Linked DNA regions of Ovis aries. The protein of the gene in region 2 purifies or fractionates together with the protein of the main gene of each other region. This does not show direct contact. Links are inferred from orthologs where the notes say so. Each region holds a gene or a part of one and is shown on either strand. Other genes may lie near its edges.

Region 1 (4,565 bases), on a different chromosome or scaffold from region 2:
TCATTCCTGCACTGGTCATTCATTCACTTTAGGAACTCAAGCCCTGTCTGCGCCTCTCTTCCTCATCTGTAAAGGGGAAAAAAAATCCTTTTTAGAGAGTGGTGGTAAAGATTAGTTGAGAGATGACCCAGGCAGTGCAGCCAGCTTGGTGCCTGGCACGTTGTAAATGTTCGGCAAATGTGAACTAGTATTGCTGTTATAAAAGACTGAGCCACATGGCTGTTGAGAAGGTTAAATGAGATTATGTATGAACACCATCTGGCAGGCAATAAATGTTTGCTTAAAAATAAATGCCTGCCTTATGGGGATGGTTTGTGCAAGACGAATGAGGAGAAACTTCCCAGCGGCACGCTCCTACTCCGGGGGCTTGGCCCTACACCCGAAGACAGAGGAGTAAATGTCCTTTTATACTCTAAGATAAAAAAAGAATTAAACATAAACAAACAAATAAACGTCATGTGGGTTGTTTCTGGAAGACTCAGTTATGGCTGTCTTTCAGAGTCAGCCTCAAAAGGGCCTTCCGAGAACACCTGGACCAACCCTGCTATTTTAAAGATGAAGAGGCCCGGCATGCTGCAGTGACTTGGTTAAGGTCACACGACAAGCTGAGGGTGAGTGTGGAAGTTTCCTGCCCACAGTTTGTGGTGGGGGCTGCAAACAGTGCAGTACAGATCACCACTCTTGGGGGAAGGACTGGGATGGTGGGGGTGGGTGGGGTAGGGGAGAGGTGATGAGTGTAAAAGCTCCTAACAGAGCCAGGCAGGAAGTGGACCCACAAACTAGGAAAGCAATGTGTGTGTGTGGGTCGGGGGGGCCACAAAGGCAGGTCTGTTCCTCCCTGGGCAAGGTACGAGTCCACAGGTGACTGGGGTGGGACTCTGAGCAGGAAGTCCCAGAGAGGGGACAGGTTCTTGTCTGGGGGAGGGGAAGAGGCAGCCACAGAAGCACTTGATTTTATTTCAGTTTTCTGAGCCTCAGTTTCCTCATCTTTGAAATGGAGCTGCTGAGACCCATCTCCTAGGGCAGTTGGGAGTTAGAATAGGAAATGTCAAAGCACTCGGCTTGAGCTGCACCAGACTCACAGTAGGCCCTCAAAACAGGGCAGTGTTCTTCCCGCCTGCCTTCCTGCCAGTCTGAGGACCCAGAGAAACAAGAACTGCCATCAGTTAAACAGAAGAGCTGACTGTGGGCAGAGGCTGGATCTCCTCACAGAATTGCCGATGTCAGAGGACAAAGCTTCCACAGGGCTCATCTTGCCCAGCCCCCTACGAAGCCAAGATCGAGAGAACAGACTTGCCCAAGGCCACACTGCCTGGCCGCAGCAGGCCAGGATTCATCTGAGGCCTCTCTGCCTTCTTACACTGTGGCCTCTTGACCGCTGGAAAGTTTCCTTTACTGGGTTTGTTTGGAGGGAGGTTGGGAAGAAGGGAAGAGAAAACAAGCCCCTGTTCTCCCAGCCCGGCTCTGAGGCTGGGCCTGGCCAGCCGTCTGGCCCAGGTGAAGGATACACATCCCTCATGGCTTCCAGGGTGGGTGCTCGCAGAATGTCTCGGATGCCAATGACATTCTCATGGCGGAAGCGCAGCAGAATCTGAATCTCTCGCAACGTGCGCTGGCAGTAGGTCTGATGCTCAAAGGGGCTGATCTTCTTGATGGCCACTCGAGTCTTGCGCACGTGGTCGTAAGCTGAGCTGAGAGGGCCAGAGAGATGTTGGTGTCCAGGCCCGGTGGCCCCACCCAGGCCTTGGCAGGGCGGGGAGGGAGCAGGAGAGGGCTCTGGCCAGTCATAAACAATGCTAGTTCCTTCCTGCTGTGAAGGCCTGGGATCTCCAGGGAGAAAGCTGGGGACCAGCCAGCCAGCCCTTCGGTGACTTCACAAACAGAGGAAGAGACTGACCGCTCACTGACTTCCCCTCTCCTCAACCCTTTCCATTCGAGCTGCCCTGACCCCTCATCCTCCCCTTCCCACGATGGGCTCTCTCAAGCCAAGACGGGTCCAGGGGGTGGGAGATGTGGAGGACTGGACAATGAGGCAAATACAGTGAGAAGGAGGGAGTCGGAGGAGGGACTGGAGAGAAGGGAGAGGCAGGGCCGGGGCGGGTGTCAGGGGGAGGTTCCTGGGCAGCAGAGCTATGTCCAGCTGAACAAAGGCCCAGAGCACCCAGTGCGGATAGGAGAACTCACAGACCCCTCCTAAAAGTTGCAGGAAGGTGTTCCTGGACCCCTCATGGCTCACTGGGTCCCTGGCCCCAGGCCCAAAGCCCCACCCCACCCCACCCAGCCCTGAGCTTTGCTCTTTTTTCCCAAACTCCTTGGCAAGCCTCACTGGGGGGTGATCCAAGACATCCTCTCCCCAGTGAGGGGACCCTCTCTCCTTCTTCACTAAGGATATCACCTCCCCAAGAAGACTAATTCTCTTCTCCTCACCCCGTGATTATGGGGTCCCCAAGGTCCCCAGAGCTCCCCCACATACACTCTGATGCCCTACCCTTCATTATTGAATAGTCAGTTCAAAGCTCCCAAACCTCCTCTCCTGAGACCTTACGCAGTGACCCCCTCCCCCAGAAAGCACTCAAAGGCCCTCCGCCTGGGACGCTCCCCAGCCTCCTGAAGCCCCGGCTTCTTCAGGATGCTCAGAGTCCGCAAGGCCCAGAGAGCTCTCAGCACCCCTCTCCGCCCCCTCCCCAGAGACGCCCCCTCCCCCAGAACGCCCCTCACCTGACCATGCCGTACGCGCCCTCGCCGATGTACTGCAGCTGCGTGTAGCGCGGGCCCACGTCGAACGGCTGCCCCTTTACTATCTCCACCTCCCCCGGGACCCCCGGGCCGACCCCATCAGTTCCCCGGGGCTCCCCGCCCCCGCCCCCCTGAGCCGCCGCCGCCGCCGCCATCTCCACTCCTCCCCTCCCGCCCGCCCGCCTCCCCCCGGCGGCCCCGCCCGAGGCCCCGCCCCTTCCCGCCCGCCCTCTCACCCGCGGAGCCGCGCGCGCCAGGCCCCGCCCCCGTCCGCCCCCGCGGCGTCACGTGACTCTCCCCGCCGCGCGCGCGCCGTTTTCCCGCTGCTGGGGCTGTGGTCCCTGGCACCTGTCGGCCTCGTCTGCTCCAGTCAACGTAGAAGCTCCCCAGGGCAGTCTCGAGACTGTCCAGACCCTCCCCCCCCACCCCCGCCACCGAATGCTGACCGGTAGGGCGGCCCGGTGACCTCACCCAGAGCCACCTAGCAAATGAGTGCTGGAGCTGGGACCCAGACCGGGCCACGTGGCCCCGCTGTGCCCACTCGGCCCGAGGAGTAGCCCGGGGCTCGAGGTGGAACCTCCTGGAGCCAGGCCCGATGCCGAGTGATATGATGCTTATTTCATAGTAGCCGTGACAGGTGGCTTCCTCACACATGGGGCCTCTTTCACAGATGTGGAAACTGAAGGTGACTGGGCAAGGTAACTTGATTGCTGGAAAGCCCAGGCATCTTGACTCCCTGCCTAATGGTTTTCGAATGGAGACCTGTCAAAGTGGGCTAGGGACCGGACCTCAGCAACCTGGCAGTGCCTGTATCCTGAGGACAGATAATCCCAGCCTACCTTTACATGGAGGCATAGGGAAGAGGTGAGGGCTGCGTGGACTGGGTTTGGTGAAAAATACACTCTCAGGCTTTACTCAGAAACAGCAGGATAGCTAACATTTTTGTTGTCCTTGGATTTGACAAAAATTGGAACCGAGATCATCATCTTTTGCTCCTGTGCTAGACTTCATAGTTTACACAGCATTTGGTCCACTTTAATTTCTTCATTAGAACCACCCCACAGTGTAGGTGTCATCTGGTTTTCTGAGCTGGATGAGCAGAGGGCCATGTCTGTCTTGTTCATTGCTGTAGCCCCCACCCACCCCCATCCCTACAGTCAAATGTAGACACTCAAAAATTTTGGAATAGGTGAATCAAAGTTTTACAGAATGGGAAATCTGAGAGTTGAGGAGCTGAGACTAACATGTATCTTCTGACACACAGGCAGAAGTTCTTTTTAATTGCATTCTGTCTCCCAGACTGTTAAACTGAAGAGACCATCCAATCCATCTCCACTTCACAGTGAAGATGTGAGCTGGGAGCTTCACAAAACACATCTCCTAGGCTTCAGGAAGTAATCACGTTGTTTTTGTCTTCCTTGGAAGCTGGGAGTATGTCCTTGTATGCACTAAAGATCAAGAGACAAAATGGAACAGAAATTATGATTCTGAAATTGCTCATAATTAGATCTATGGTCAGGCATTCTAATTCAGATTAGTAACACTGAGAGTTGCTAGTTCCCAGGAACCCACAAGTCAGTGAAGGTTCAAGATGTGCTAATTAGATCAATGGGTTTTTTTGTTGGTGGTGTTATTCATTTGATAAGCTATTGACTGGCACTGTGTGCAAAGCTCTGAGCTAGGAACTAGGGCTGATAAAAGATTACTGGATAGTGTGAATTAGTAGTTAAGAGCAAGAGCTCTCTGGAATCAGGTTGCCTGGATTAGAATCCCATTTAGGCCACTTGTCATGTTATCCTGGGCACATTACCCCACTGGCCTTTCTACTT
Region 2 (4,571 bases):
CATAGGGGCCTCTGGTTGCCCCTTCCTACCCTGCCTCCCTTCCCAGCCCAGTGGGCCACCAGGCTGAGACTTGTCTCCAGCCACACTCCCCCATGTCTTGGTCTCTGGGATGAGTCCCATCACCTGGCTCCAGGGGCCGTGGGCAGCTGGGCTGGGTCCCCTCGCCCTTAGCCTGGGCTGCCTCCTCTGCAGCCTGTCCTGATTCTATTCCTTCTTCACTCCCCTTCCCCCAGGTTTCTGTCTCCCTCCTCTGTGCTCCAGACCTCAGTTCCCTGAGGTTACCAGCTAGGCTGGAGCCGAGTGGAGGGGGGCGGGGGTTTGTGTGTGCATTTCATTTCTCTCACATCCCAGTTCCCACAGGCAGAGGTGGGAAGCCACCAACCCTGGGGGGCTCCCTCCAGGCCTGCTGCAGCTGTGGGCAGGACCCCGGAGTGGGCTGGGGTTGAAGGCACCCAGGGGTTCCGGGATGTGCCAGCCTGGTGTGTCTGGCTTGGCCAAGTCGCCAGAGTGGGGGTGGCTGCCCAAGAGAGACACACCCTGCTCCTGTCCGGTGCTGTGGTCTCGGGGGTTGGAGAGAGGGTCGCCCTGCCGTGCCAAGGCCTGCTTTCTGGAGAGGGCTCTCTGGGGGAGGGAACCAGCATCAGGCCAGGGAGGCAAATTCTGCCCCTGGGCGGGGGTCGTGGGGGTCTGCCCCTTGCCCAGATCTCTGCTGGTCAGCTGAGAGTGAGCTTTGCGGGGGGGGGGGGGGGGGGCGTTCAATCACCAAAGTGCTCACTGCCCAGCGCCAGCAGCTCCCGCTGCGCCAGAAGCAGGAAGATATCCTGAAACCTGTTGCCACCTCCGCAGTGCAGGGCTGAGTGCCACCAAGCCCCCCTCCCCCGACCCTCGCCAGGCCCCCCGCAGCGCCGGCTGAGGTGGGGGCTCCGACACTGGGCCCCGCACCCACTTCCCAGGCGCGCGCGCTCCAGGCGCGCAGTGGCCTCCCCAGGCCCTCTCAAGCGGGCAGAGCTCGGCCGCGCACTTCCCGTAGGGTGGGCGCTGCGCCCGCCGCCCGCCCCCTTCTCCTGCCGGGCGCCCCTGGCCTCCGCCCAGCCCAAGCAGTGCCCCTCGGAGGCCGCGGAAACGCCGCTGCCCATAGGCCTCTAGCGCGCTGCCCATGCGCCCCTGGGGCCCGGGAGCCTCCCGAGAGCGGCGCCCCGCCTGCTCGCCACAAGCCCGCCTCCACCCCCAAACACTCGGGTCCCCGCCGGCCTGGTGGCGGCAATTGGGCCGTCCGGCCCGGTTAGAACTCCCAGACACAGCGCTCCGGGCAAATCCGGTGTCTTTTCCTCCACATCTACTTTCCGCCGGGGATGGCTTTTGCCGGGTCGGCCTCCTGGCGGGACTGGGAGTTCCTCCATGGCAGAAGCGGTTGTGTACCCTGCCCTGAGCTGGCCCCAGCCCCCCAGGGAAGGGCCTGGCACGCGGCGCTCATGGAAGAAATGCTCGGGAACAAAGAAGGCATGAATGAATGAAACCAATTGTTGCACCAGGGAGCCCGGGGGGTGGCTTTCTCCCTCAGCAGGTCACTCACCCAGACACACAGAAGCACACGTGTGCACGTGGTTCCTACCCTCCCCCCACCCGCCCCCCACCACACTGGCAGGCGGACACACACACACACACACAGGCACTCCGATTCCTGCCTCCAGGAAAGCCACCTACTATGTGCTTGCCAACACCTGGGGCCCCTTTGGCCGCAGCTGGGTGGCTTCCATCTCAATTGCCTGCCTCTCCCTTGCCCTCCCCCATCTAAGTACAGTACCTTGCACCCCCAGTGCCTTCCTTATCTCTTAGGGACCAGGCCAAGTCAGTCTCTGGGGAGACCCAGGGCCTGTTTAGGGAGCCACCTGGGGGGCCTCAGGGTGGTGAACCACTGCTGCAAAGGCGAGCCAGTGGCGCCTGGCAGAGATGCCACCAAATGCTGCAGCCTCCAGAACCCGTGTGCCAGGTGTTGGAGGGAGGGACTGAAATGTGTTAGAGGACGTGCAGGGCTATGTGCCATGGGTGCGGGCCAGGGTGTCCAAGAGCCAGAATCCTGCAGGTGTGCACACATATTGGGGGTGTACGAGGTGCAGGCCTGGGGAGCCAGCTGGGCTTCAGGAGTGCAGCGTCGGCCTCTGGGTGAGGGTTCCTGTTGGGGCTTCGTCCAGGGATGGGTGGATGTCAGCGTCTCTGGGCTGGGAACGTGGGTGGGGTGTCTGTGATGAGCATATGGGGAGTTGGAGATGGTGCAGGCCGGCGAGGGGAGCTGTGTTAGTGCAGATATCCCAAGGATGTGTTGGGTATCTATGTGTGTGTGTGCGTCTGTGTGTGTGTGTGTGTGTGGGGTGTGTGAACGCGCGCGCGCACGCTCTCGCGCGCCTGGGTGTGTACTGAGGCGTGGCAGCGTCTGGGATGGGTGCTGGCCTGAGTTGGGGACAGTAGTCGATGGTGACTTAGCGGCTGCCGGGGCGTGCACTGCAGGGCCCTGGGTCCGCGGTGCACGGTTTGTGCACGCGCGTGTAAGTGTCAGGGGGTGTGCGTGGCCATGGACACGGAGTGCACGGGCGGGCGCACTGAGTGGGTCTCCCAGGGGCGCGTGCGTCGGCCTGGCGGGGTGCGCGCTGGCGAGACTTTGGGGGCGCAGGGCGGAGGCGCACACACGTCGGGGGGGCGGCCAGGCGGGGTGGGGGTGGGGTGGGTGCCCGGGCGCCGCGTGCCCCGCTCACCTCCGTTCCGCTCGGCTTCCTGCGCCGGCTCCGCGCGTCGCGGCCGGGAAGTTTCCGAAAGCCCGGCCGGCGGGAAGCGCTACCGCCGCGGCCGCCGCGCGCCACCGGAGCCTCGGGCGGCGGCCTCGCCTGGAGCCGAGGGGCCGCTGCCGCCGCCGCCGCCGCCGCCGCCGCTGCGGAGGGAAACTCCAAATCCCGCCTCCGCCGCCGCCGCCTCCTCCCCTCCCGCCGCCGTCTTCTCCGCCCCCTGCCCAGGAGGGGCAATGTCGCCGGCGGAGGCGCGCGAGGAGGGAGCGGGGAGGGGCCGCGGCCTGCTTGGCGTCTGCTCCCACCTCCCCTGCCCGCCTGCCTCCCACCTGCCGCCCGCAGCCCGCTCTGCCCTCGGCGGCCCCTCTCGGCGGGGGCGGGGGGATGCCCCTGCAGCCCCGGCTCCCAGCCGCCTCGCCGCGGGGTCTCCGAGCCTGGGCCGCCAGAGTTGGGTGGGAGGTCCTGACCTCGGTCGGGCCTGGGCTGGGCTGCCTGGAACAGTCCGCCCTGGCACTCCTGCGGCCATCGAGGACCAGGCACAGCTTGGCCCCCGGGGCCACCTCCTGATGTCCCAGGGGCTAAGCTGTAAGGTCCGGGTGAGAGCATCCGAAGCGCCCAACCCGCGGTCCTCCGACCCCTGTCTTCTGCCATCCTCCCGTATCAGATTCTGGCTCCTGGAGCTTTGGGGCTTGAGTGCCTGGAAGGGGTGCGGCCAGGACGGTGGGGGTGGGTCAGGGAGGAGGTGCTGTCTGCAGGCCTGGGGTGCTTTCCTCTGGCCCTCGGGCCAGGGTCCGCCCCCCATAACGGGCCTCCTTTGGTTTTTACACCCATCTGGGAGTTGGAGGAGACGGTTCCCCTGCTATAGGTAGGGAAACTGAGGCAGTGGTTTCCCGGGGGTCACGCCGCTGTGTGGTGACAGGGCCAGAGTGGAGGGGGACGCAGGGAGGGCTGGGATGCCAGCGGTAGCCTGAATTCCCCTGAGTCATCACCTTTGGGAAAGAGAGGACAGAGGCTGCATGTTTGGGGATGGAGCAGACCTCACCATCTCCCAGGGCCCTCACCAGCTTTGCAGCAGTCTCTCTCCAGGGTGTGGGAGCTGGGGCAGGGTCCAGATGCCACCAGCCTGGCAGGCCCAGCCCGCCCTTTGGCCTCCTTCGGCCCTCAGCACGTGCTTGCCCTTACCACCCTTCCCTCTTGAGCGGCTGGGCCTTTCGGGGCTACCCTTGCTGGCAGGTGCATCTGTGGGCCGGGCTGATCGTTCACCTCCCATTCAGCAGCAAGGCCCCAGGGGCTGGCGTGGAATCAAACTGCCAAGACGATGGCACGCAGGTGGGCAAACGAAACCGGTGGTGGTTTGGGTGGGTCCTGCCACTCTGCCCCATGCTTCTGTGCCATCCATGCTGCCAGCTGTCCTGGAGTCAGAGGGCCCTTTGCTAAGATAGCAGCCTGTGCTAAAAGGCATGCCGTTCAGCAATAGGACCATTTTGGTCTGTCAAGGGGCAAAATACACAGAAACCAGAAAAGATGGGGGCCAGCTCCCCTGGGGACCCTCCCATTTGGGGAAGACACACGGCAGCCGTGCCCCTGGCCCTGGGCACTCAGCCCCCTGCAAAGGCTTGGTGAGCTGACTCACAGAGGAGTTTCTGGAAAGGTTGGAGGACGACCCCCCCCCCCCGCCCCAATTCTGTGCTTTAGTGACTCAGGGCTGAACGGCTGGAGGAGGAACATTTGGACTGGATGATGCCACCCTCACCCCTGCAGAGCTGCTATCCCAGCCCTCCCACAGGGCCTTTG

The links.
Region 1: the proteins of DUSP9 (region 2) and MAPK3 purify together in Homo sapiens (affinity purification with mass spectrometry; 4 studies listed by BioGRID and IntAct, with this or other methods). This does not show direct contact. The link is inferred for Ovis aries from reciprocal best matches to the Homo sapiens genes DUSP9 and MAPK3.

The regions. Positions count from the first base shown.
Region 1 is NC_056077.1:26,691,572-26,696,136, reverse strand, and holds the start of MAPK3 (mitogen-activated protein kinase 3), read right to left. Parts: upstream 2,914-4,565; 5' UTR 2,892-2,913; coding exon 2,719-2,891; intron 1,692-2,718; coding exon 1,509-1,691; intron 1-1,508.
Region 2 is NC_056080.1:80,631,287-80,635,857, forward strand, and holds the start of DUSP9 (dual specificity protein phosphatase 9), read right to left. Parts: upstream 2,899-4,571; 5' UTR 2,751-2,898; intron 1-2,750. UniProt on the Homo sapiens protein: Inactivates MAP kinases. Has a specificity for the ERK family.